Sus scrofa: one gene and its partners. The protein of the gene in region 1 interacts with the protein of each later gene in a biochemical or structural test. Links are inferred from orthologs where the notes say so. Each region holds a gene or a part of one and is shown in the gene's direction. Other genes may lie near its edges.

Evidence for each region.
Region 2: the proteins of E2F1 (region 1) and CCNA1 form a complex in vitro, tested with the Homo sapiens proteins (2 studies listed by BioGRID). The link is inferred for Sus scrofa from reciprocal best matches to the Homo sapiens genes E2F1 and CCNA1.
Region 3: the proteins of E2F1 (region 1) and PHB form a complex in vitro, tested with the Homo sapiens proteins (2 studies listed by BioGRID). The link is inferred for Sus scrofa from reciprocal best matches to the Homo sapiens genes E2F1 and PHB1.
Region 4: the proteins of E2F1 (region 1) and TOPBP1 form a complex in vitro, tested with the Homo sapiens proteins (4 studies listed by BioGRID and IntAct). The link is inferred for Sus scrofa from reciprocal best matches to the Homo sapiens genes E2F1 and TOPBP1.
Region 5: of the proteins of E2F1 (region 1) and SETD7, one has a biochemical effect on the other in vitro, tested with the Homo sapiens proteins (3 studies listed by BioGRID). The link is inferred for Sus scrofa from reciprocal best matches to the Homo sapiens genes E2F1 and SETD7.
Region 6: the proteins of E2F1 (region 1) and PURA form a complex in vitro, tested with the Homo sapiens proteins (2 studies listed by BioGRID). The link is inferred for Sus scrofa from reciprocal best matches to the Homo sapiens genes E2F1 and PURA.
Region 7: the proteins of E2F1 (region 1) and RBL1 form a complex in vitro, tested with the Homo sapiens proteins (2 studies listed by BioGRID). The link is inferred for Sus scrofa from reciprocal best matches to the Homo sapiens genes E2F1 and RBL1.

What each region holds. Positions count from the first base shown.
Region 1 is NC_010459.5:37,187,319-37,191,349, reverse strand, and holds the start of E2F1 (transcription factor E2F1), read left to right. Parts: upstream 1-1,231; coding exon 1,232-1,236; intron 1,237-1,291; coding exon 1,292-1,403; intron 1,404-1,527; coding exon 1,528-1,920; intron 1,921-4,031. UniProt on the Homo sapiens protein: Transcription activator that binds DNA cooperatively with DP proteins through the E2 recognition site, 5'-TTTC[CG]CGC-3' found in the promoter region of a number of genes whose products are involved in cell cycle regulation or in DNA replication.
Region 2 is NC_010453.5:12,394,892-12,398,948, forward strand, and holds the start of CCNA1 (cyclin-A1), read left to right. Parts: upstream 1-1,257; 5' UTR 1,258-1,434; exon of another isoform or gene 1,435-1,598; intron 1,599-1,889; 5' UTR 1,890-1,913; coding exon 1,914-2,078; intron 2,079-4,057. UniProt on the Homo sapiens protein: May be involved in the control of the cell cycle at the G1/S (start) and G2/M (mitosis) transitions. May primarily function in the control of the germline meiotic cell cycle and additionally in the control of mitotic cell cycle in some somatic cells.
Region 3 is NC_010454.4:25,603,194-25,606,693, reverse strand, and holds part of PHB (prohibitin), read left to right. Parts: intron 1-889; coding exon 890-1,051; intron 1,052-3,500.
Region 4 is NC_010455.5:74,832,878-74,836,377, reverse strand, and holds part of TOPBP1 (DNA topoisomerase 2-binding protein 1), read left to right. Parts: intron 1-154; coding exon 155-334; intron 335-1,924; coding exon 1,925-2,094; intron 2,095-3,494; coding exon 3,495-3,500. UniProt on the Homo sapiens protein: Scaffold protein that acts as a key protein-protein adapter in DNA replication and DNA repair. Composed of multiple BRCT domains, which specifically recognize and bind phosphorylated proteins, bringing proteins together into functional combinations.
Region 5 is NC_010450.4:87,502,284-87,505,783, forward strand, and holds part of SETD7 (histone-lysine N-methyltransferase SETD7), read left to right. Parts: intron 1-400; exon of another isoform or gene 401-414; coding exon 415-604; intron 605-3,500. UniProt on the Homo sapiens protein: Histone methyltransferase that specifically monomethylates 'Lys-4' of histone H3. H3 'Lys-4' methylation represents a specific tag for epigenetic transcriptional activation.
Region 6 is NC_010444.4:141,876,500-141,880,574, forward strand, and holds the start of PURA (transcriptional activator protein Pur-alpha), read left to right. Parts: upstream 1-1,275; 5' UTR 1,276-2,063; intron 2,064-2,532; exon of another isoform or gene 2,533-3,011; intron 3,012-4,075. UniProt on the Homo sapiens protein: This is a probable transcription activator that specifically binds the purine-rich single strand of the PUR element located upstream of the MYC gene. May play a role in the initiation of DNA replication and in recombination.
Region 7 is NC_010459.5:40,258,646-40,262,145, reverse strand, and holds part of RBL1 (retinoblastoma-like protein 1), read left to right. Parts: intron 1-1,709; coding exon 1,710-1,910; intron 1,911-2,622; coding exon 2,623-2,687; intron 2,688-2,788; coding exon 2,789-2,917; intron 2,918-3,027; coding exon 3,028-3,188; intron 3,189-3,500. UniProt on the Homo sapiens protein: Key regulator of entry into cell division. Directly involved in heterochromatin formation by maintaining overall chromatin structure and, in particular, that of constitutive heterochromatin by stabilizing histone methylation.

The sequences.
Region 1 (4,031 bases):
TTTTGGCCACCCTGAGGCATATGGAGTTCCAGGCCAGGAATCAGATCTGAGCCACAGTTGCAACCTACACCACAGCTGTGGTAAGTCCGATCCTTTAATCCACTGTGCCAGGCTGGGAATAGAATCTACATCCTGGCACTACAGAGATGACACCGATCCCATTGTGCCACAGAGGAAACTCCAGCTACTTTTTTTTTGATGGGCCCATCCCCACCAGATGGCAGGCAAGTTCATAGAAATTATCAAGCCTTTCACATATCTGCCCTCAGCGCTGGCACAAAGCCTGGCACAGAGGAGAGGACAATATAACTCAAATCAGCTGAACTGAGCAATGAGAAGTGGCTGATGGGGAGGTCCTGTGGCCTCTGGTTGCTCAGCACACTCACCTCCTCCCTTTGTAAAATCTAACATGGAATTACCTTAATAGTTGAAATCTGTGTCATATGTAAACATTTGTTACCTCAGTTTCCCTCCAGCCCCTTTCACTAAACTGTTAGATCCTTAGGGCCAGGAGTCAAGAAGGGGGCACAGAGCAGACTCTCAAAACATTTGTTGGGGTTCCCAAAGTGGCTCAGCGGAAATGAATCCGACTAGGAACCATGAGGTTGTGGGTTCGATCCCTGGCCTTGCTCAGTGGGTTAAGGATCCAGCGTTGTGGTGAGCAGTGATGTAGGTGGCAGACAGGTCTCAGATCTGATGTTGCTGTGGCTGTGGCCTTGGCTGGCAGCTACAGCTCTGATTTGACCCCCAGCCTGGGAACCTTCCAGGGGGTACCCTAAAAAGCAAAAAAAAAAAAAAAAAAAAAAAAAAAAGGTTTGTTGAATGAACGAAGGAATCAGTTCAAGCAGAAGCTGTGCTTTGGTTGTTGAAGCGATTCCAGCTACAGGAGGCTTTGGAGAAAAGCCCCAAGCTGTACTGGGTCAGACATTCCTCTCCATTTTCTGGCAACTCCTTCTGCTTGTGCTCTGGGTGGAAGGGATAAGGTGGGCGCAGGATTTGAAAGTAAATGGCATTGGTGGGGCAAGTTGAGGAAAGATGTGGCTGGGGTTTTGTAGGTGGGCTTGAGATCCTGGAAAAGAGAAACTGCGTTTGCAGTTTCTAGAGTTATGGCCTGAGGGTGTTGGAGCACCCACAGGTGGGGGTTCTGGGAGGTCACGTGGGGTCTGTGGATAGCGATCTGTGCACAACACACGTTCTGTTGTAAAAGCCTCCACTAAAGGGTATCAACAGGATGGGGTGCGTCGAAGAGGGGGTGGGGCCACCACTCCCCACACAGGGCCGTCCCCTCTAGGGGCGGGGAGTGCGAACGCGCCTGGCACCGCCCCGACAAAGCCTGCGCGCGCCCCATCCTGCGATTGGCGGTGCTTCCTCGCGCCGCCGCCCCGTCCCGCCCTCCGCCGCCGGTCCGGCGCGCTGCAACCAATGGGCGCCGTCGCCGTCGCCTCCGTCACAGCCAGGACAGCCAATAGGCGCAGCGCTCGGCGGCTCGTGGCTCTTTCGCGGCAAAAAGGATTTGGCGCGTAAAAGTGGCCGGGACTTTGCAGGCAGCGGCGGCCGGGGGCGGAGCGGGATCCGGAGCGGGATCGAGCCCTCGCCTCGGCCTGCTGCCATGGGCCCGCGCCGCCGCCGCCGACTGCCACCCGGGCCGCGCGGGCCGTGAGCGCCATGGCCGTGGCCCCCGCGGGCGGCCCATGCGCGCCGGCGCTGGAGGCCCTGCTCGGGGCCGGCGCGCTGCGGCTGCTCGACTCCTCGCAGATCGTCATCATCTCCACCGCGCAGGACGCCAGCGCCCCAGCGGCCCCCGCCGGCCCCGCCGCGCCCGCCACCGGCCCCCGCGACCCCGACCTGCTGCTCTTCGCCACGCCGCAGGCGCCCCGGCCCACCCCCAGCGCGCCGCGCCCCGCGCTCGGCCGCCCGCCGGTACGGACACCAGGGACACTGGGCCAAGTGCGCTGCCTGGACCCCGGCGTAGACCCGGGCGGGGCGCTATGTTTGGCCTGGAGGCGGCGAGGGCGGGGGAGGGTGGGTTGAGGCGCCCAGGCTGGGCGGTGCCGAGCTTGGGTTGGGCCTTCGGGCTCCGCCCCGGGGTGCAGGGTGACCTCGGGCCAGTCCTTGTTTGCTCCTCTGTGCTCTGGGCCTCAGCTTCTTCGCTGGAGCCTGTCTAGGGTCAGACTCAATGATAATAATGGCCCACGTGTATTCAGCTGTTGCTGACTGCCTGCCAGGCCTCTGGCAGACTTCAAGGCAGCTAAAACTCACATCCATGCTGTGAGCTAGCTCTGTGTTGTCACTGTGCCCATCTGAACTGTGCCCAGAGAGGGGAAGTGGCTTGCCCCCTGGTCACAAGGCTGCAAGTGGGATTTGAACTGAGGCCTGCTGGCTTCAGACCAGAACTTGTGGCTGGATGGTGGGCACGGCTGCTTGGGGAAGTCAGGGGAAAGTTCTGGGACCAGAAAGTTGAAGGGCCATTGAGGAGACCCTCCTTCCTGCCTGGATGCTGGACTGCCAGGTGCAGGCCTAGCCCTCCGGGCCTCTGGGGACAGGCCGCCTGGCTGGGAGGCCTTCTCTGCAGGGGCGGGGTGGCTGGGCCAGCTGCTGATTCCCCTCCCTCTGCCTGTCCTTCCATCTGCCACCCTCCACCCTCCCAGACTCTGGTTGCCATGGAAGCTCATTAATCAGGCAGGCAGACCCCTGGCCCCAGTGGAAGTACTGGGTGGGCTGGGCCTCTGGGAGCTGGAGAGGAGGCCCCCAGTGCTAGAAAAGAGTAAATGCCCCAGGGAGATGCCTTGATAAAGTGCTCCCTGAGCAGCAAGAGGCTTAAGACCAATTCAGATTGGGGGGGGGCTCAGAAGAGACCGCTGAGTTACAGGGGGAGAAGGGGGTGGAGGCCTGGAGCTTGGACCTGTGGGCCGCAGGACAGGGTGTGGAGACCAGTTTGACTGGCGCAGCCTGTGGGTAAGGGTAGGGCATGGATGGGCAGGCAGGGGCCAGCCAAGCAGTATGGGGTCTCAGCACAGGGCTTGGAGCAAGTGGGAGGGGAGAGGCAAAGCCCAGGGCAAGGAAGTAGTATCTGCCCAATTACTGTTGGGGGACTGGGTGGCAGCTGGTCCCTGAGGCATCCCACCAAGGTTCCCCCAGTCCCCCTGGCCCCTTGCCCAGTGTGGCCTTCCTTCCGGAATCACTAAGATGCTAATAATAACAATAGCAGCCACCATTATTTTGAGACTGTTTTGTGTGTTAGGCCCTGTGCCAAGCACTTTACCCAATTAACTCATTTAACCCTCTCAACAACTTTCCCCTTTTCCAGGTCGGGAAGCTGAGGCCTAGAGAGGTTAGAACCTTCCCTAGTTACTCAGCTAGTGAGTTGTGAGACCAGTCCAGATTTCCTGAGTGGTTAACCACTAGGATGCCTCGCTTCCTGGAGATGCTAATAGAGGTTGATGAAAGCACAGGACCCCTTCCTCCTAATGAGTGAGGGGGATGGAAATTGTACCGGGGTGGGTCGCTTGGCTGGTCTCCTGCACCTCAGCAACCTGTTACTGCAAGTACCAGCTTGGGGCCTGGACAGGTAGCTTCCATTTAGCTAATTGATAGTACTTGGCTGTGGGGCCTGCCCTCGGCAGTCTGAGCTCTAGGTTCAGAGGGACAGCCAGAGACTGGGCCAAAGACATGCCCTGTGCTCCACTCCTTATGGTGCCGGGGGCAGCCTCAGTGGGCCTGAGCATTCCCTTCATTCAGCACTTGTTGGTGAGTGCCTATGAGGTACTAGGCAGAGGCAGGTAAGGAGCCTCTGCCCCTCAGTGCTTAAGGGCTAGTAGACATTTTTCGCCGTGGGCAGGGGTGGGGGCTGGTGCTGTCTTGGAGCTGAAGTTGAGAAACATGGGCCCAGGTTTTGCCTTGAACATTGTACCTTTCGGTAGCCACTGGCCACCTGAGCTCTGGCCTCCACTGACCCTCGGCACTGGCATTTGTTTGGGGCAGCCCATGAAACAAGCTACAGACTCAGCTTCTGCACAGGTGAGCATTCACCG
Region 2 (4,057 bases), on another chromosome or scaffold:
GTCGGATTCCTTTCCGCTGCACCACGAGGGGAACTTTGATAACTGATCAGCTAATCATTTCTTAAAATGCTCATTTAAATGGTTTTGGTGGTCTGCTTAGGGATGAGCATTTAAAAAAATAAAAGCAGACAAAAGCAGCAACGTTTTATATGCAATGTGTATATGTGTGTGCACACAGATACACACACATGTGCACACAAATATTTTCCAAAAAATCACAACGTTAAAGACTCTTTTACCTGCCTTGCCAGTTAACTTCTGCGGGTGGACCCCCATCCAAGGATTTTCCTCCCCACGTGGCGAGGCCACCTGCCCCGAACCCAGTTCCGAGCCTCATTACGTTCTCCCTCAACGTCCCAAGCCCCATCGCTGCCACCCGCGTTCCTTCCTCTTCCTGGGCCACTATCTCGGCGTTCCTGGACCCGCCTCAGGCCGTGACTGCCGGAACCCGCCAGGGAAGACCTCTCGTGGGGACTGTCCGCACCACGTGCGACCCTAAAACCCCAGATCTCCTCTCCCACCCTGCCGGGCCAAATGCACCAGAACCCGGGCCGACCAGGAGCAACCTCTGGTGCGCAAGGACTCAAAATGAGCGAGGACACGCCGCCACCACGGATTAGGAAGCCCCAGCCCAAACCAGGGGCCAACCCGCAGCTATGTGGCCTCTCTCTGGGAGAAGGTGTAGGTGTGTGGGCCAGCGAAGGGGATCTAGCCGCGCTCTGGGGCGGGCGCGGTCAAGGCGCCACGGCCTGCGCAGCCCCGAGGGCCCCGCGTCGCTCTCCCGAGCCAAGGTTCTCAGGAGCGGGCCGAGGAAAAGACGTTGGCGGGAGGAGTTAGTGGCTGTTGGGAGAACGGGTTCAAGGAAACAGTCCCTTCCAAACCCTGGCCATCGCGGGGTGGGCCTTCTTCCTCCCTGCCAGACCCGGGAGGCCAGCCAGAAAGGGCGCGGGTGCCCGCGGCGACCCGCTCGCCCGGGCACGCCCGGGCAGGGCAGCGCAGGAAGAGCCCGGGGCGGCTGCCGGTTGGTCCCTCCCAGCCCTGAACGCCCAGGGGTCGCGGTGCGTCCGCCCCGAGCGTGTCAGGTGAGGAGGTCGCCATAGCGATGCGACCCGGATCGCGCACGCCGGCCGCGGTTGGCATGGAAACGGCCCCCCCGTGAGGCCCGAGAGCGCCGCTGATTGGCCGATTCAACAGACGCGGGGGGCGGGGGAGTTGAAAATAATTAGAGCTGAGGAGCTGGCAGCCCAGGCTGAGATCCCGGCGCCAAGGCTGGAATCTATTAACACCTCGGTCCCCTTCCGCCTCGCCCCGCCCCGCCCCCGCCCCCTTAGGCTGCCCCTCATTCCCAATCCTGGTGTGCACTTGCCAATTGTTCGAGACATATATAAAGACATAAAGCTGAGACGAGCGAGGCCCGCTGTGGGCTTCAAGCAGGTTTTGGGGTCTTATGTCTTGCGGGAGGAGGGCCGCGGAAGAGCACGCTTCTTGTCACTTGGGAAGGGGATATATTTTCCCACAGTGATGTATCCTGGGTCGACTGCAGGCAGAGGGATGGTGGGGTGATGGATAAGTCTCATAGCCGGAAAAGACATAGACCTGTAGGTTTGGACTCCCAATTAACCTGGGGCTTAGTGTCCGGCCGTGGAGGTCTGCCTTCCTCCTTCCAGCCGTCAGCCTGGTTTGGGAAGAAAGCCTGGAGAGATTCAAATCCCTGTTTTGGTTCAAAGTAGCTTTGATCGCTTGCACCGTGGCTCAGGCCTTTTCAACCCTAATAACTGCAGTGAAGATCATATGTTTCAGTGCTCTCTCTTCTGGGGATTTGCTGCATTCTGGAGCCCGTGCTGGAAGAGGTTGACTAACCAGCATGTCTGTTTCTCCTTCCCTGATAGCAGTAGCCTGTGGAGACTGAGGCTATGCATCTCAGTAGCTCCAAGAGCGGGAGAGTGCTGGCTCCAGTGTCCGGAGGTCCTGATGCCTGTCAGATGATGTCCAGAGCCCAGCTCAGCCAGGATCCACCACAAAGAACAGTACTAGGGGTGCTAACCGAGAATGGGCAATACAGGAGGACCTGTGGCCAGGTAACGACTGAGAAGAGCTGGGACGGTTACCTGTTGAGAAGGGCTCTCATGTCATGGTGAGAGGTGGGTTTCTCTGGCAGTTTTACCTACAGACGTCCCCTGAGTATTTCAACCCTGGAATCTGGACTAGAGGGACCTTGATTTATTAAAGATTTCTTTCTTGGGTCCTTTTTCTAGCTAGAAATATTGAATACTTTTCTGTTATTTTTCCGATATCAAGGAAAGAAACCTAGGAACTGTTTAGAGTAAGTATGCGTAAAGTCATTTAAGTTCTGGGCTAAAAGGAAATGAGAATGCTCCAAAATAAACTGTGGAACTGGGGTTCCCACAGATTGGAGCGGTATCCACACTGATCTCGGCTGTGCCTGAGGCATCCTGGGTAACTTTTAAGTTCATTGGTGATGGTGTAGAATCAGGATTGGATCAGCCTATCCTAGATTACTTCAAAATGCGTGCTTTGAAAGTAGACTTCTCTCCAGGACTGACTAAGGACAGTTGGGCAAACAGCTCATGGGCCATCTGACATTAGTTGCTTGCACTTAACGGATCAGAGATACTTCCTTTAACTGATTGTAAACAAATTCAGAGACTTATAATGTAAAAGAGGAGTTTGGATCCTTAAGAATGAATTTTGAGATTAAACAAAAAAAATCTAAGTCTGTTATTAGACAAAGCTTCTCATAACCATGCCTTAAGTCTGTAGTGTACATATGTAGTGGAATGACATTGGCAACCATACAGTGACATAGGTGGGCAGGTGTTCTTTCCATTTTATATGTGAGCAAATTTGAGAGGTTTAAAAAAGACCAAAAAAGAAAAGAAATTCATGATGGAGACCAGATCAGAAGCCTCTCCTCATCTACAGACTATTCAAGTCATCTGTTTTGGTGACATCTGATTAGTGAGAGAAAAATACCCAAAGTAATGTTTCAAGCGTTGGAAAAAACAGAGTAAAGGTGGTTTTAACAAACTTAATGTGCTTAGTGGTGTTTACTTCTTTAAACTTGAAGTTGAAAACCTCTTACGAATTGGCAGTTACACCTACGCTGACTGAGCTCACTTTAAATTCACAACTGTCAATTAAGCTCTGTGTTGCCTGGCGATACCTCTACATTTCCCGACTCTATTCCTCTGCACCCTTCTTATAGAAACCTCCTATTTTATACATTCCCTTCTCTTTTTATCCTTGAAAGCCTCCATCTCCATCCTTACTCTCAGTTAATAACTATATCCTATTTTCCTAAAAATATAGATGTAACCGGAAGAGAATTTCCACATGGTCCCGTGTACCTACCATATACTCTGCCACCCCCTTCCCGCTACGTAACCCATGTGTCCCTGCTCTTATGCAAGGGGAACGCCCCGTGTGTGCAGCACACCTTATGCCCTTTTGCCTTTTTAAGGATATCATTCCATCACCTTGTCTTTCTCTTTTCCACTGGATCAAACCCAGAAGCATGAAAATATACTGTGATTTTTTTTTTTTTTCATTCCTAAAAACCTTGCAACTACAAAGCTCTTTGCAGCAACTGTCCCATTTATGGCAGTATTTCTTGAGGGTTTGTCTATGTAAATTCCATCAGGATGAGGGTTTGGGACATTGGGTTTACTGCTGTACTTCCAGTGTTTAGAACAGTGCCTGGCCAGGGTAGCATGCGAGGATTTATTGAACAAATACTGTGTCTCAGATTCTTCTCTTGTTCTCTTTGACTCAATTCTTAATCAGTTCTCAAGCCTTTCCTTACTTGACCAGTTGGCAGCATTTGACATTGTTGATCATTCTTCACTCCTTGAAATAGTTTCTTCTCACGCAGTCTGGAGAACAGGGCCTGGTTTCCAACCTAGCTCACTGGCTGTACCTCCTCGGTGGTCCTTCCTCATCCGCTCGCTAAAAGTTAGAGTGTGCCAGGGCTTCGTATTTGAGCTGAATCTCCACTCACTCCCATAGCAATCTCTTCCAGTCTCCTGGCATTAAATAC
Region 3 (3,500 bases), on another chromosome or scaffold:
AAAAAAAAAAAAAAGATAATTGAACTGACCACAAAGTGCAAAAAGGCAGATATACTCTGATCTTTTTGGCCAGCCCTGCATGGCTAGACATCATCACCATCACTCATTTCTCTCTCAGTCAGCAAGACAGCTCTGTAGCCCCTTAAAACCGTAGAGAAACCAAGCTATTGGAAGTAAAGAGTGGGGCCTTCTGAGTTGTAGGGTTGCCGGAGTGAGGGTGCTGTTTCTGCGCACACTGGGTGAGGCTGGAACCGGAGGGAATGTGGTAACAGTGAAGACCTTGGTGAGTTTTAGAAAGTTTTGAGAAGTGATTTCTGGAAATGCTTTGCGAGTTTGGGAGTGAGGTGGTTAATCAGAAAATCAGCAGCCAGTTGTTTCAGAGAGAAAGGGTGCTGAGGAAAGCTCCTGTAACCAAAGTCCTTGGGAAGACACATGGGAGTGATTGCTTTGTTTTGTAGCCATTTAGAAGCCTCTAGAGGTCAGAAGTCTGGGAATGTAGAGCAGGAGAGGGGAGACTTAATACATGAATAGAAAGCACTGGGAGGAGTTCCCGTTGTGGCTCAGCAGTAACCTGATTAGTATCCATGAGGACACAGGTTCCATCCCTGGCCGCGCTCAGTGGGTTAAGGATCCGGTGTTGCCGTGAGCTGTGGTGTAGGTCGCAGGCGAGGCTTGGATCTGATGTTGCTATGGCTGTGGTTAGGCCAGCCGCTATAGCTTCCATTTGACCCCTAGTCTGGGAACTTCCATATGCCTTGGGTGCAGCCCTTAAAAAGCAAAAAAAAAAAAAAAAAAAAAAAAAAAGGCGCCAGGGATCTTTCAAGGGCATGATCATTTTGGTTAACGGGTGAAGGGATTTTTCTGACCCATCGTTTTCCTTCATTCCTAGTGGATGCTGGGCACAGAGCTGTCATCTTTGACCGGTTCCGTGGTGTGCAGGACATTGTTGTAGGGGAAGGGACGCACTTTCTCATCCCTTGGGTACAGAAGCCAATTATCTTTGACTGCCGCTCTCGACCACGTAACGTGCCAGTGATCACTGGTAGCAAAGGTGAGTCTTGTGTGTGGGTCAGGGCAAGTGGAGAGTCGGGGAGGCTACTGTGAGATCCAGAAGGGGTCGAACTTCACATTGTAAGAGTTCCTGGCATATCTTTCCTAAAGAGTTTTATGTGCCTTTATGCAGCATAGAAGGAAATAGGCAACCCTTCGAGATACCCCTGGTTTGGTCACAGACCACCACAGCGAGGCAGATGCTCTAATACAGTGAAATGCTTGACAGAGTTCCCTGGTGGCCGAGCAGGTTGAGGATCTGGTGTTGTCCCTGCTGTGGTTCAGGTCGCTGCGTGCCAGAGGTTCAGTAGCTGGCCCAGGAGCTTTTGTATGGTGCAGGCGCAGCCAAAAAAAAAAAAAAAAGAAAGAAAGAAAAAGTTACTGATGGAAGATAATGTGAGAAAAAGAATGTGTACATGTGTGTGTGTGACTGTGTCACTTTGCTGTACAGTAGAAATTGACAGAACACTGTAAAGCAACTATAATGGAAAAAGTAAAAGTCATTAAAAGTTTAAGATAAAGAAAGAAAACATTGTGGTTGGGGAGTCCCTGGTGGTCTAGTGGTTAGGACTTGGCGCTTTCACTGCTGCAGCCCAGGTTCCATCCCTGGTCTGGGAACTGAGATCCCACATCCCGCCACTGCAGGCTGTGGCCAAAAAAAACAAACAAGCAAACTTTATGGCTTAAAAATGCTGACCAGCCTTTGAGCCTTGGGTGAATTATCGAAGTAACATCACAGATCATTGATCACAGATCACTACAACAAATCCGGCAATGCTGGAAATTTTTGAAATACTGCAACAATTACCTAAATGTGACACAGACACAAAGCAGATACTTTTAGAAAAATGGCACAGATATGGAGTTCTCCTCGGGGCGTAGCAGCAACAAATCCAACTAGGAACCATGAGGTTTCAGGTTCGATCCCTGGCCTCGCTCAGTGGGTTAAGGATCCGGCGTTGCCGTGAGCCGTGGAGTAGGTCGCAGATGGGGCTCGAATCTGGCGTGGCTGTGGCTGTGGTGTAGGTTGGCAGCTACAGCTCCGATTGGACCCCTAGCCTGGGAACCTCCATATGCCGTGGGTGTGGCCCTAAACAAAAAAAAAAGAAAAGAAAAATGGCACAGATAGACTTGCTTGATCCAGAGTTGCCACACATCTTCAATTTGTAAAAAAATGCAGTGTCTGCAAAGCACAATAAAACGAGGCGTGCCTGTATACTGGAGATCCGCGCACAGAGCCGTACAAATTTAGAGAAATGCACGCAGATGTATTTCAAGAGTTACCCGGTGATCCAGGTTTACAGAAATCTAAATGCGCCTGTGCCCCCTCAGTTGACCCTTCCCAGTCGGTTCTCATTCCCCAGGGTGACTGTAAACTGATCTCCAGCCCGTCTGTTGGCCTTCACAGCTGACTTAGCCTTTGCCCTGCTTCCCAGGGCCTCTGCTTCCAGCAGTGCTGCACTCTCATGGCTTTCGCACAGGCCAAAGCCCACATCCCCAAGTCTGGTGCCTGGCGCACCACTGGCGTCCCAGTCGGAGCCTAAAATGAATGGCTGTTCTGGTTCTCCCCTCTTCCCACCCCCAGAGGTGCACGGGCGGTAAACGGAATGGCAGGTACAGGCTCAGGGGTGACGTTTCTGTGCAGCAAGGGGAGAGGGTTGAGGGGACGTCGCTGATCCTCAGCAGATGTTTGCTTTCTGTGGTGGTGCCAGGCCTGGGGCTGGGTCAGAGAGCGGGGGTTTAAAGACGACGGCAGCAGGCAGCAGGTGCCCTTAGGAGCTCGGTCTAGCTGGGAGGTGGTCCTGCGGACAGGCAGTTAGAGGGAAGCGTGGCGGGCACAGCCTGTGGGGAGAGCAGAGAGGAGCCCGCTTACGAGGCACATGCATCTGCTGGCACTTGAGAGGGAGATGTGTGGCGGGCTGAGGAGGGGACGCGGTGCATTGGTGTTGCATCGTCTGTCCTGTTGCCCCCCCCCCCCCCCCCCCCCGCCAGCCGGGGAGAGGAAGGAGCCTTGTAAAGGGTCCGGCTTAGCAACCGCGTCAGAGGACCTCAGTGGTGGGGTGTGGTTAATCAAGAAAAATCCTATTTTATCTTACAGGCCTGGTTCTCAGTGTTCGCTCTCTCCGGGAGTGCTCTCTCTCTCTACCGTTTAGTGGTTACACGGTGCGCCTCAAGGGTACACTGTGCACCTCTCTTCAGAACTTGATGGGAACCGCAGAGATCAGGGACTCGTGTGTGAACATGTCCCACATCTGGTGCCTGGTTCAGAGCTGCTCTCCCGGGCGCTTGGTCCATACTGCTGTGACCACGAGCAAGCTCTGAGCACTTTAGCGCCAAGCAGGCCTGGGTTGTCAAGGGGAAGTTTTAGTTCCCTTCCCGGATTCCTTTGACCGGGCCAAGTAATTAGAACTGGCCTCTTGATGCGTCTGATAACCCCTTCCATCTGGTGC
Region 4 (3,500 bases), on another chromosome or scaffold:
TTTTTAATACACTATATAGCTAATTACTGGTAACTTTTAATTTTGTCTCAGGTGTGTTTTTTTCATAACCTACTGTAATTTGAATATTTCTGCAAAGGTAGATTTTCTCAATGGTTTATATTTCTCTCTTTCTCTTTTTTAATGAATATATTAGGTCAAAAATATGAATGTGCAAAGAGATGGAATGTACACTGTGTGACCACACAGTGGTTTTTTGACAGTGTTGAGAAGGGTTTTTGTCAGGATGAATCCATATACAAGACGGAGCCTAGACCAGAAACAAAGACCCTGCCTGATACTTCAACTCCTACTGGTCAGATCAACACTATTGATAGTAGGTCTCTTTGGGATTCAAGTAAACAGTCATTTTTAAGGCAGTTTACTGTGTTAGAATTGATTTGTTAATAGGATCAAGGAGATATGGTGAGGGATTTCATCTTTTCTTACTGTGCTTCCAGGTATAATGGTATAATAACCAAATTGTATTTTAAAAATTAGTCCAGAGCTCCTGATTATTTCTTTTTATATTGAATGCATACTTTATTTCATACCCTAATATAATGCAGAAGATGATTAAAGAAATTAAGAATACTAATAAAGTCTTAAAATAAGAGGATTTTTTTTTTTTAGAATTTTACTGGCATGCACATATTAGTACATTTTCCTTATTTACTAGTTTGCTGCAGTTGTTATAGATCATCAGTGTTCTTATGTGACTTAAACCTACTTCTGTTTTGGAGGTACTATATTGGCAATTTAACAAAAGTTGTAGAGAGTTCCTGTTGTGGTGCTGCAGAAACGAATCCAGCTAAGATCCATGAGGACATGGGTTCGATTCCCTGGCCTTGCTCAGTGGAGTTAAGGATCCAGCATTGTTGTGAGCTGTGGTGTAGATCTCAGACTTGACTCGGATTCCGTGTGGCTGTGGTGCAGGCTGGCAGCTGTGGCTCCATTTCAACCCCTAACCTGGGAATCTCCATATGCCAAGGGTGCAGCCCTAAAAAAAAAAAAAAAAGAGAGAGAGGCAAAAAAAATACTAAAGACTTAAAATAAGAGGACTAATTTTGACTGGCATGTACATATTAGTATGTTTTCCTTATTGTTTACTGCAATTGTTATAGATCATCTGTGTTCATATGAAATTTAAAGCCACTTCTGTTTTGGAGGTACCATGTCAGCAATTTATCAAAAGTTACAGGGAGTTCCCGTTATGGCTCATTGGTTTACAAACCAAACTAGTATCCATGAGGTTGTGGGTTCAATCCCTGGCCTCGCCCAATGGATTAAGGATCTGGTGTTGCTGTGAGCTGTGGTGTAGGTTGCAGACACAGCTCAGATCCTGTATTGCTGTGGCTGTGGCATATGTTGGCATATGTGTCCGATACTTCCATATGCCTCAGGTGCAGCCCTAAAAAGCAAAAAAAGAGAGAAAATGTTTTAAATAGATTTTCCTTTAAATAAATGAATTTTAATTAGTTTCATTTTCCCTTTTCATACTTAGCACCAAGATTTCAGTAAAAGCATTTGAATCTTTTTCTTTTTCTTTCTTTCTTTCTTTTTTTTTTTGTCTTTTTAGGGCCACACCCACAGCATATGGAGGTTCCCAGGCTGGGGGTTGAATCAGAGCTGCAGCTGCCAGCCTATACCAAGCCGCAGCAACACCAGATCCGAGCCGTGTCTGCTACCTACACCACAGCAATGCCAGATCCTTAACTCACTGAGCGAGGCCAGGGATCGAACCGGCAATCTCATGGTTCCTAGTTAGATTCGTTTCCTCTGCACCACCATGGGAACTCCAGCATTTGACTCTTACTTTGGAAACTGTTCATAGCTCTTTTTATATAAGGCAAGTTAATCTATAGGAAAATATATAATCTCAATTATTTTGTATCCATAAATTTATACATTTTTGTTTAATATGTAGGTCGTACTCTTTCAGATGTCAGCCATATTTCCAACATCAATGCAAGTTGTATAAATGAATCAATATGTAATTCAGTTCTTAATAGCAAAGTGGAGCCTACTCTGGAAAATCTGGAAAATCTGGATGTCAGTGCATTTCAAGCCCCTGAAGATTTACTGGATGGTTGTCGGGTATGTCTTTGTCATATAATTAAAGCAGTAAGTGGTAATGTACATTAGTACTTCTAGCTTCACTGTGAATACCTTTCAGAGTTGGGCTTGATCCTTATCTATCTAAATTACTGAGCCACAACAGGAACTCCCTGGTTGTGACTTTTAATTATTCTTTACTTATAATAAGTGTAAGATTCCTAATTTTTGTTAAAATATATTCTAGTAACAGAGTTACTTAGTTTTGAATGTAACTGTAGTTAGGAATAGATGGGTCATTCTTGAGAAATTTTTAGAAAACACATTATGTAAAATAGAGCTGGAAGGGAGTTCCCATTGTGGTGCAGTGGAAAAGAATCCAACTAGTATCCATGAGAATGTGGGTTTGATCCCTGGCCCCATGCAGTGGGTTAAGGATCTGTTAGCTGTGGTGTAGGTTGCAGACTCCTCTTGGATCTTGCGTTGCTGTGGTTGTGGCATAGGCCAGCAGCTGTAGCTCTGATTGACTCCTAGCCTGGGAACTTCCTATAAGCTGAGGGTACAGCCCTTTAAAAAAAAAAAAAAAAAAAGAGTTGAAGAAGACTGTTAAATTGATTAAATTAGTTTAAATATGTACATATTGATAGTTAAAAATAGGTTATTGCGTATGTATCATCCTCAAAGCATTGTGCTCAGTTCATTGACTTAAATTTCTTTGTTTAATTAGCTGAAAAAGATCTCTCAATTTATAAATAAGAGGAATTGGTTTTAGAGAATCTTAGGTATCTTGACTTGGTCATGTGGTTAATCATTGGCCACTGAACCAAAATTTAAATGTAGATTTTCTGAGTTCACACATTTAACTCCAGTTTATTTCTGTAATTATTTTAAAGCCTCAAAATCCTTATCAGGTGTCTACTGTAAAGGATAATACTGCTATGGCATTGTGAAGAAGTGATAAAAATAAAACCAAAGTTTTTGTTTTTTTTTTTGGTCTTATTATTGCCTTTTCTAGGGCCGCTCTCGTGGCATATGGAGGTTCCCAGGTTAGGGGTCTAATTGGAGCTGTAGCCACTGGCCTACACCACAGCCATAGCAACTCGGGATCAGAACCATGTCTGCAACCTACACCACAGCTCACGGCAACGCTGGATCCTTAACCCACTGAGCATGGCCAGGGATGGAACCTGAAACCTCATGGTTCCTAGTCAGATTCGTTAACCACTGAGCCACGATGGGAACTCCATACCAAAAAATTCTTTTAAAAAAGAAAAATCAGAGTTTCAGAATATACTGCACTTAATATATCTTAAAATGTACGCAAGAGTTGTCTTATTTATACACAATGGATTTAGATATGTACTTCTAATAAATAAGTTTCTATTGAGAAATAAACCATTTTAATTGCATTAATCTAAAGTAAATATTTCCTTTCTTTGCAGATCTAT
Region 5 (3,500 bases), on another chromosome or scaffold:
GAGTTCCCAGGCCAGGGATCAGATCCCAGCCACAGCCTCAAACCAAGCCAAGGCTGTGACAACACTGGATCCTTAGCCCACTCTGCCAGCCAGGGGCTCGAACCCAAGTCCCAGCAGTCCCAAGACACTGCCAATCCTGGTATGCCACAGCAGGAGCTTCCCATCTCTGGTTCTAAATAAGGTTTATATGCCCCCGTGCATGTAACTTCCAGTAGTTTATTTGTGTGGAGCTGGATGGAGAAGAGAAAATGCATCAGGTTGTTCGTGTTTGTGTAAAAGCTTTGAGTTCTTAAACTCTTATGACTCCTATTAGTGGTACTAACCTTGGGGGAGCACTAGAGAAATGTCTTGAACTCGTGCCATATAGATAAATACTATATATAATATTTTCTGGCTTTGGGTTTTTCCCATCAGGATGGAGGTAGCCTTGTAGGAGAAGTAAATGAAGATGGGGAGATGACAGGAGAGAAGATAGCCTATGTGTACCCGGATGAGAGGACTGCCCTGTATGGAAAGTTCATTGATGGAGAGATGATAGAAGGGAAACTGGCTACTCTCATGTCCATGGAAGAAGGAAAGCCTCACTTTGAACTGATGCCTGGAAGTAAGTTAAATCTGATTCATGCGGGTTGTGCTAATTCCAAAGCAGGCTGGAAAGCCTTCTTTGGAAGAAGTTAGCTTCTTTGTCTAGTCCATGTTCATGGTTTATTAGTCAGGGTTGCTGTGTAACAGACCCCTCAGCATCTCTGTTTTACAGTAGCAAACACAGATATGCTAAGTAGCTGTATTCAGCTGGTCCAGGCTGGGCATGGCCAGGCCAGATTGGACTTGAGGCTTCTAGTTAGGTTGGAATCTGCCCTGTGTCTTAATTCTGAGGCCCTGTCTGAAGGGACACTTGTGACCTGGTCAGGATTTTTCAGATGGTCCCAGGAAACCAGAGCCTGAGCAGACACCTGTGATACCTCTTAAAGCCTCAACATGGAATTGACACAATGTCCTTTCACCCACTTTTCATTGGCCAAAGCAAATCACATGACCAAGCTGAACATCCATGAGACAGGGAAATACACACCATGCCCTTTAGTGGCAGATGCTGAAAGGTCACCTGACAAGGGCATAGCCATGTAATTCTAATGCAGGAAAGGAGTGAAGAAATGACAGCTGTCATTCAGTCAATTTTAAATATTATATCTTAGGGGAAAAAAACTATAGTTTAATGATTTTAAAGAAGCAAATCAGGTAGATCTCCAAGTTGGTACAGACTGTAAAGCTGATTCAGCCTGAGCTGTGATGGCAAAGATAAATGCACACTGTCACCCCAGCCCTCTTCACAGCCTAGCATCTTCTTGGAGTACATGTCCCATCCGTGAGTGAGCCTATCAGAATCCACATCGTAAAAAAAATCCTCGGAGTTCCCATCGTGGCTCAGTGGTTAGCAAACCCGATTAGCATCCTTGAGGATGCAGGTTCAATCCCTGGCCTCGCTCAGTGGGCTAAGGATCTACAGCATTGCCGTGAGCTGTGGTGTAGGTCGCAGACATGGCTCGGATCCCAGGTTGCTGTGACTGTGGAGTAGGCCGATTCAGCTCCTAGCCTGGGAACCTCCATATACTGTGTGTGTGGCCCTAAAAAGACCAAAAAAAAAAAAAAAAAAAAAATTCTCTTTCCTTGTAGTGGTACAGGATGGCACACTAAACTTTTTTTCTGATTAAAAAATTATGTATTGTGGAAAATACACAAAGAAAAAAATGAAAGCTTTCTATAAAACTTTAAGAAAGAAATTAAGAAATTATAAGAAAGTTGTTTGAATTGGTCTTCTTCCTTGAAAACAATATAAACATGTATGTATTTCCAAGCCAAATTAAGGTATAAGGAGAAGAAAGTAGAAAAGAGAATATGTCCAGGCATTGCTAGGTCTATTTGGACTGAAAGGAGAGTCTCCAAAGGGATTGTTCAAAACCAGGAAACCTAGCACTTTACCTTTAGGTCCAGCTTGGGTTGTTTAAATGGCTCAGCTTTTGTGTGTTTTTTTTAAGTGAAAAATTGAGGTATTTTAAATGCCATGTGGGATTCTGGATTGGATCCTGGAACATAAAAGGGACATTTGTGGAAAAACTGGTGAAGTCTGAATAAAGTCTGGAGTTCCGTCAATAGTAACGCAGCTATGTTGGTTTCTTAATTTGGACAAGCGTACCATCTAACATAAGAAATTACCATTAGGAGAAACAGTGAGGGCTATTGGGAACTCTCTGTACTATCTTTGCAATGTTTCTGTAAACTTAAAATCATTCCAAAATGAAAAGGTGGTTGGTTTGTTTTTTTAAGTGAAACAGTCATCTTTGAACTTCAGATTCTAATTCTGAGCCTTTCACACATGTTCTCAAAGGAGACAGGGTCCTTATGTTCGCAAGGAGGAGACTCCAGCCAAGAGGAGATCCCACCTGGTGATGCAGGTTTGAAGACTTCAGAAGTGGCAGCATTTTTAATGGCAAGATCTTGAACTTAAGAGTCACCTCAGCTCCAACATTTACTGTATTATGATCTTGGGCAGGTTATTTATCCTTTCAGAACCTGTTTCTTCCTAGTAAAATACAGATCGTGGCACCAATGGTAAAACACTGTCTGGAAAGCTCCTGTGGTTATCACATTCTTCTTGGTATAAGTATGAAACACATTTCAGGGTGTGAGAGGGATCATTCTCAGGGGAATGATTCTTTTTCTTAGAATTCCTGCTTGCAAATAGCAAACACCCTCTTCATACTGACTTAAAGCCAAAAAAAAAAGAGGGGGTGGATTTATTGGCAAGATCCCAGCAGGCCTCAGTTACTTCAAGGAAAGGTTGGATGATTCGGGTGTCAGAGGGGTCAAGAATGCGGGGTGCTTTGGGGACCATGCACAGTCCTTACTCTGAGTCCTGCCCCTTTTGTTTCTTTCCCCTTCCTCTTCCAGTTACAGTTAGTGACTTGCTGACTAGCCGGCTTTCAGGGTCATGTGGCCTCTGGCCCAGGGGTCGGCGGCAGGAGGAGGAAGCAGAATGAAGTACCTCACCTGAAGTCCTCCTCGGGACCCTCTCCCTCCCACAACCTTTCTCTCTGGGCCTTTGGAACCGCAAACTGCTTCTCTCTCCTCATTTACTTCGTGCTGAGTTTCTCCTTGTGCCTCTGTCTGGAATGTCTTCTCTCCTCATCTCTTCGCCTCTCCACATAGGAATTCCATTCCCCGGCTAATGACTATCCCATCATTACAGCTTGGCTCCCCTCTTAAAATAAATGCTCGTCAAGTGAATGAGTAACAGTGTCAACTATAGCGGAGGAGTTTCCATTGTGGCTCAGTGGGTTAAGGACTTGACATAGTCTCTGGAGGATACAGGGTTGGTCCCTGACCTTGCTCAGTGGGTTAAGGATCCAGCATTGCATAGGTCACAGATGCCACTTGGATCCAGCGTTGCTGTGGCTGTGGCGTAGGCCTCACCTGCAGCTCCAATTTGACCTCTAGCCTTA
Region 6 (4,075 bases), on another chromosome or scaffold:
AATATCTGTAAATTTTTACCATTTTATGTTTGTTTTAGCTTATCTTCTCATTTCTCTGAGTTTGAGGAATGATTTTTTTTTTTTTTTTTCAGGAAAAAATGTAGGAGGAGTTCTCATCGTGGCTCAGTGGAAACAAATCCGACTAGGAACCATGAGGTTGTGGGTTTGATCCCTGCCCTCAATCAGTGGGTTATGGATCTGGCATTGCTGTGAGCTGTGGTATAGGTTGAAGATGCAGCTCGGATCTGGCGTTGCTGTGGCTCTTGTGTAGGCCGGCAGCTACAGCTACGATTAGACCCCTAGAACTGGGAACCTCCATGTGCTGCAGGTGTGGACCTAAAAGGACAAAAAGACAAAATAAATAAATAAATAATGTAGGAAGTTAGGAAAGGAGACAAGATGAGTTCCCTTCCACAGGGGTCAACAACAGGGTCCCTTTTGAGGATCTTCATAAGTTTGACACAGTTTAATAAATGAATTTTAAAATTATAGCGAATACCGGCAACTATACAACAGACAACTTTACACTTGTAAATGCTTGATAAATATGTAGTACTGAGAAATTACGATTTGCTTTGGAAGGTAATCTTGTGCTGTTTCAGTAAGAGATCTTTGGAGTAAAGATGCTACTTGCTCCTTATACAGCTAAAAAATATATTAAGAAGCTTAAAAAAAAATTTCGAATCTTTTCCCTCAGTAGCTCCAGGCATTTTATCCATGGAATTAAGCCTGTTTTTCCTCCTCTAGAACCTCTGCTATGATTTCGTACTTTCACCAGCTTCTAATCTCCACTATATAGTTGGAAGCATTTAAGACCAAACCCTCTTTAGGATATCAAGTTGCAGAAGACTGTAGTTTCAGAGATATTTATACAGTAGTGCTGCCACCTAAAGATGAGGTGAATAAGTAATTCAAAGGAAATGACCCATCATTCTTAAGGCTGTGTCAAAAATTTTCTCACTTCTTAAATAAAAACATTTGTTTAAACTTTATAAGGAAAACATTTCTCATACCTAGGGATTAAAAAAAAACATTGTTTTGTTAGTAGGGAAGCTTGTTTCACAATGAAGTGTTGCTGTCATTTTCCATGGCAGAAATTTTCAAATTCAAACCCTTTAAAATGATCTGTGATTTGAGGTCTCCAAGAATATCCCCCAAATTTCTCTCAGACCTCAGTCGCTTCCTCTAATACATAAAGTGTGTGTGGGGGGGGGGGGATTAAAAGATATCTAGAAGTAAAACTATTGAGGAACTTCTGGTTTAGTGGCTAAAGCTGGTAATAAAAGACCCATGCATGGTGTTTCCTCCTCTGGGTGACAGACTCCATGCAACTCTCAACAACTGACATACTTTTGTAATTCAATTTTCTCATCTATAAAATGGGGTTAATTTCCCCTCTCTTCTATCTGCCTCTAAGTCTTAGCTAGATAAGCTTCTTGGAAAAGGTCCTATAATTAAATGAGTTTAAAAGTCTCCTTTTGCCTAATAAGAGTACCTCACGGTGTACTGCAAAGTAACCTCAAAATATATTCAGTTAAATAAGCTAAAACAATGATTCAGTTTTCTTTAATCACAGATTGACTTCCCTGAGAGTTATTTAAATAATGATAAAGATGGGCAAGGCTATTTTCTGCTTATTTTGCAGTCCATAATTTTCGTACGCAGTGTTGCAGGATGGAGATGTGGCAGTATCCAAAGTGAGGGGGAAAGTTAACATGTACCAAAAACCTTGTCAAATTTGGTTAAGATTTCAAGAAAACTCTTAAGGACTTTTTACAGTTCTACATTTCACCCTAGTATAGCAATTTCTGAAAATGAACTCGTCCCTGTTACTCTCTCCCTCTCGACCCAAGGACGCATAAGTAATATTTATCAGGGTTTTGTCCTTAGTCACAGTCCCTCAAAGGGGCCCAGTTTCACCTACACTGCGTGGGAGGCTGGGCTGCCACCCCACGCTTCCTGTCAAGGATTCCTGGGGCTAGAGCCTGAACTTGGACTAGCCCCTTCTTCTTCATGCTAATTCCGCCCTTCTAGCCCCTCTGGACGCGCGTCTGAAGGCCAAGGTGAGACCCTCCCGGGCGATGAAAGGCTTGTCGCCTCCAGAAAGATGCGGGCGGAACGGGATGTGTGTGTGTGGGGGGGGGTGACCGAGCGGTAGCGGCACCGACAACGACGCTGAGGGCCCTAAACTGGAGCTGACGCAGGCCCTACAGGGTTCTGTCCCCGTCTGAGCCTGGCTTCCGCCCTCTGAGCCCAACGAGGAATAAATCCTCCGGGGGGCGCTACCGGAGGTGGGCGGAGAAAGTGCGGCCCGAGAAGCGGCAGGCAGCCCCCTTCTCAGACCCGCCTCAAGGCCTGGGCCGCAGGCTGTTGACGCGCCAACGGCCGGGAGGGCGCGCGCACGCGCGAGCTGGGGGGCGGAGGGAGCGCGCTCGGCAGCCGCCGCCGCGGCGGCAACTGAAACGGAGGGACGCGAGGGCGGAGGGCGCGAGCCACGGGAGGAAGGTGGGGGGGAGATGGTGGGTAGCGGGGAGCGCGCGCTGACGTCGCCCGGAGTCACGCACGGAGCGCCGGGTTACGCGCCGACGTCTGGCTGCCACGACTTGCCGTCTGCGGCGGCGGCGGCGGCGGCGAGCGGATCCCGCAGGGGAAGGAGGAGGAGGAGGGAGAGCCAAGGGGGCTGTGAGTGAGCGGGAGAGGCAGGGTGTGAGCCGGACTTGCCAGCGGGAGGGAGAACGAGCGAGAGCCGAGCCAGCCATCCGAGCCGCCTCCTCCTCCTCCCCTCGGCGTCCCGCCCCCGCCTGCCAGCCCGCCTTTCTCCCTCCTCAGCCGGCGGAGCCCGAGTGAGGCGCAGCTCAGCTCGCGCCGCTGTCCAGGACAGGTGTGCGCGCGCGCGCCCTCCTCCCCTCCCCCTTTCCTCGCGCCTGCCTCGCGCCTGCCTCGCGCGCGCCCTCCCTCCCTCCAGCCCGCGCCCTCCCTCACCTGCGGCAGGACAGCGCCCGCCCGCCCCGGTAAGCCCCTCGCGACCTTCTCTGCTGCCACTGCCTTAGCTCGAGGTGCCGCCCACTTTGTCCCCTCTTAGTGTTTTCTTATGCCCCAGGAATAATGACTGGAGCGCTGTAGACGTCCCCGCACCCTCCCTCCGGGGACCCTGGCAGTGCAGCAACGCGCCCCCTCCCTCCCGAGCGCTCGAAGGGACAAACTCCCTCCCATCTCCAAAAAAGAAGAAAATCACACGCCCCTTTAAAAAAAAAAAAAAAGAAAGAAAAGAAAAGGAAAAGGAAAAAAGGCAATCCTACCTCGGCAGACGCTGGAGACCACCAATGATGCCGTTTGCTAGCGATGCCTAAGCCCCAGTCCCTCTAGCCACCTTCGCCTGGGGCCTGGGACAGTGCGCCAAACCTGGCCGACACTCCCTGCCCGGCAATCCTGGCAGGAGGGGAGAGGAAGGAGGGTTCTAGGCTCCACTACCAACCCCTCCTTTCCTCTGTTGAACCCCCCCCTCCCACCCCCGCAATGCATACACCCGCCCAGTATGCGTTGTAAAAATAAAAAATACATTGGTGCTGACATCGCAGATGAAGCCAGGCCCAAGGATGGGTGGCCCGAACACGGCGTTTTCGCCGCCCCACGGAGCTCGCTCAGCTCCGTAGCCGCCTCTGCCTCTGTCCGAGGGCCAGAGGAACGGATGTGAAGTTGGAGAGGCTGCCCTTTGAGCGATGGTGGGGCCCCGGCAGCAGCTGAGACGTAAATAGGGGCAGGGACTTCCACAAATATATTTGCCTTGAGCCTGAATTTGGATAGAAAGAAAGGCCCCAGAGTCCGGCGAGGGAAACTTTCTTGGGTTCGTTGCTGTCTACCCCTGAATAAATGGTACTTTGATTTTCGTTGTCTCAGCGGGACCCTTTTGAGGTTTCTAATTCGTTCTTATCTGGCCCCCTTAACGTTTCTGTCGGGCCAGGCGCTTTCGCAGCGGCGTCTGTGTTTGTGTCCCGTGCCCTTGGAAGGGAGGTCCCCGTGCTGTATAATGGGCTGAATTTGGTTTGCCATTTTTTGGTAGACCTGTCGGAGGAGG
Region 7 (3,500 bases), about 3.1 Mb from region 1:
TTTTTTTTTTTTTTTTTGGTGTTTTTAGGGCCACACACGTGGCATATGGAGGTTCCTGGGCTAGGAGTCCAATTGGAGCTGTAGCTCCTAGCCTACACCACAGCCACAGCAACACCAAATCTGAGCTGCATCTGTGACCTACATCACAGCTCAGGGCAATGCTGGATCCTTAACCCACTGAGCGAGGCCAGGGATTGAACCTGCAACCTCATAGTTCCTAGTCAGATTTCGTTTCCGCTGAGCCACGATGGGAACTCCTTAAATGAGCTTTAATACTACAGATTTTCAGTCTAAGACCATACTAACATGAGGACATAAAAAATTGCATCCATAATTGAATTAAGCCAGAAGGGTTGAGCCATAATCCATTAGGTGATTTTCTGGGTATATACTACCTTTTTAGTTTATATTAAGTGGTGGAACCACACGTTGGAACACAAACACTTGAATTTCATTCCCACTCTGTAACTGTCCGGTGCTTTGTGATTAACTTCCAGAATCTGATATTGGGAGATTCTATCTTTTGTCAAAATAGTTTTGTGAACTTATCAGTCTGTTGAGTAACATTTACTCTGTAGTTTATCTGCAGAGTATTGTCTGGGTGCTGCAGGGAATAGAAGAAGTAGGTAGGTGTTCCCGTATAGTAGAATGTATTTTATATATTGACCCCTAATTCAAAATCTACATTCTCATAGTGGTTCTGGGAACTAAAGTAATTTTTTTTTTTTTGTCTTTTTTGTCTTTTGCTGTTGTTGTTGCTATTTCTTGGGCCGCTCCCGTGGCATATGGAGGTTCCCAGGCTAGGGGTTGAATCGGAGCTGTAGCCACCGGCCTACGCCAGAGGCACAGCAACGCAGGATCCGAGCCGCGTCTGCAACCTACACCACAGCTCACGGCAACGCCGGATCGTTAACCCACTGAGCAAGGGCAGGGACCGAACCCGCAACCTCATGGTTCCTAGTCGGATTCGTTAACCACTGCGCCACGACGGGAACTCCGAACTAAAGTAATTTTATAGCACTTGGAGTGTGGGGTTTTTTATTTGTTCGTTTGTTTCTTTTTATTTATTTATTTTTTTGTCATTTCGCTATTTCTTTGGGCCACTCCCGTGGCATATGGAGGTTCCCAGGCTAGGGGTCTAATCGGAGCTGTAGCCGCCAGCCTACGCCAGAGCCACAGCAATGCGGGATCTGAGCTGAGACTGCAGCCTACACCACAGTTCACGGCAACGCCGGATCATTAACCCACTGAGCAAGGGCAGGGACCTAACCCGCAACCTCATGGCTCCTAGTCGGATTCGTTAACCACTGCGCCATGACAGGAACTCCCTGTTTCTTTTTAAAAAAAATAAATTCTGGCTTTTTTTTTCTTTTTATGGCTGCACCTATGGCATAAGGAAGTTCTGCAACTAGGGGTCGAATCAGAGCTCCAGCTGCTGGCCTGTGCCACAGTCGTGGCAATGCTGGATCCAAGCTACATCTGTGACGACCGCCACAGCTTGCGGCAGTGCCAGATCCTTAACCCACTAAATGAGGTCTGTGATCAAACCCACATCCTCATGCACACTCTGTTGGGTTCTTAACTTTCTGAGCCACAATAGGAGCCCCAATTTGGCATTTTAATAAATATTCTTAGGCATAAATAGAGTGTTTCCTTTTCCTTCCATTATATGGACTCATTTTAAAGTTGCTTTTTTTCTGTTCGTTTAGTTTAATACAGTTTTTTAGTAAAATGAAGAAATGGATGGACATGTCGAACCTGCCACAAGAATTTCGTGAACGTATAGAAAGGCTAGAAAGAAATTTTGAGGTGTCCACTGTAATTTTCAAGAAATTTGAACCAATTTTTTTAGATATATTTCAAAGTCCATATGAAGAGCCACCAAAGTTACCACGAAGCAGGAAGCAGAGGTGAGACCCTTAATTCTTATATAATTGACATAGAAATTATGATACAAGCTTAAGATAATTTCCATTTGATTTTTTAATTAAAGTATAGTTGATTTACCATGTGCCAATTTCTGCTGTACATCAGAGTTACTCAGTTATACATATATATACATTCTTTTTAATATTATTTTCCATCATGCTCTATCCCAGGAGATTGGATATAATTCCCTATGGTATACCATAGGACCTTGTTATCTATCCACTCTGAATATAATAGTTTGTCTACTAACCCCCCATCCCTGTCCATCCCTCTCCCCGCCACCCCATGTGACAAACAACAAGTCTGTTCTCTATGTCTGTGAGCCTGTTTCTGTTTTGTAGGTACATTAATTTGTGTCACATTTAGATTCCACATATAAGTGATATCATATGGTATTTGTTTCTTTCTGACTTACTTCACTTTGTATAATAATCTCTAGTTGCATCCATGTTGCTGTTATTGGTGTTATTTTATTCTTTTTTATGGCTGAGTAGTAAGGGAAATTTGCGTTTTTAAAAGTCTACTTTTTAACTTCATTTAATAACCCATAATTGTCTGGCCTTTGTGAACGGGAGTTTATAGGTAATTTGACTTTACTATTTGTTGTATTTGCTGTTTCAATTTAAGGGACACATGTGGAATGATATTTAGTAAGTTAGTCAAATAAAAGTACATTTTCCTCCTTTTTTTTAGGAGGATTCCTTGCAGTGTTAAGGAGCTTTTTAATTTCTGTTGGACACTCTTTGTTTATACTAAGGGTAAGGTTACACTTTTAATTGTTCTATATTTCTAATGTGGGAACTTGGTGCTATTTGACATGAAAGGTTTCTGGGTTTTATGTCTCTTTTTTCATATAAAGGTAATTTTCGTATGATTGGAGATGATTTAGTAAACTCTTATCATTTACTTCTGTGCTGCTTGGATCTGATTTTTGCCAATGCTATTATATGCCCAAATAGACGAGACTTGCTGAATCCATCATTTAAAGGTAAGATCTTATTTATTTTTGAAAACTGATTATCAATTTTTAGAAAAAGAGTTTTAAAAGTTGACCATATTCTTTTTCCCTCCATTGCTCTTTATACCCCGTCAAACTAGGTTTACCATCTGATTTCCATACTGCTGACTTTAGGGCTCCTGAGGAGCCTCCCTGCATCATTGCAGTACTGTGTGAACTGCATGACGGACTTCTAGTAGAAGCCAAAGGAATAAAGGAGCACTATTTTAAGCCATATATTTCAAAACTCTTTGACAGGAAGGTACTGTACTTACAATTAAATGACTCAGATATTAGGGGATTAGCAGCAGCCTCAAAGGGAAAACAATACTTTAAGCAACTTCTTAACAGTATAGGACTCAGGGTCAAGAGTCCCAGATTTCAGTCTCTGCTGTGAGGCAGAATTGTCCTATGATTTTCTGTGATGTGTGAATCTGAACTTTTGAAGAATATGACCAGTCATATGTACTGTCAAGTAAATGGACTGTCGGTGGCAACTGTAGGAAGTTCTGGTAAAGAATTATGAAGAACAAAACATCAGAGTAAACCTATAAAGAATTTTGAAAAGCAGGAG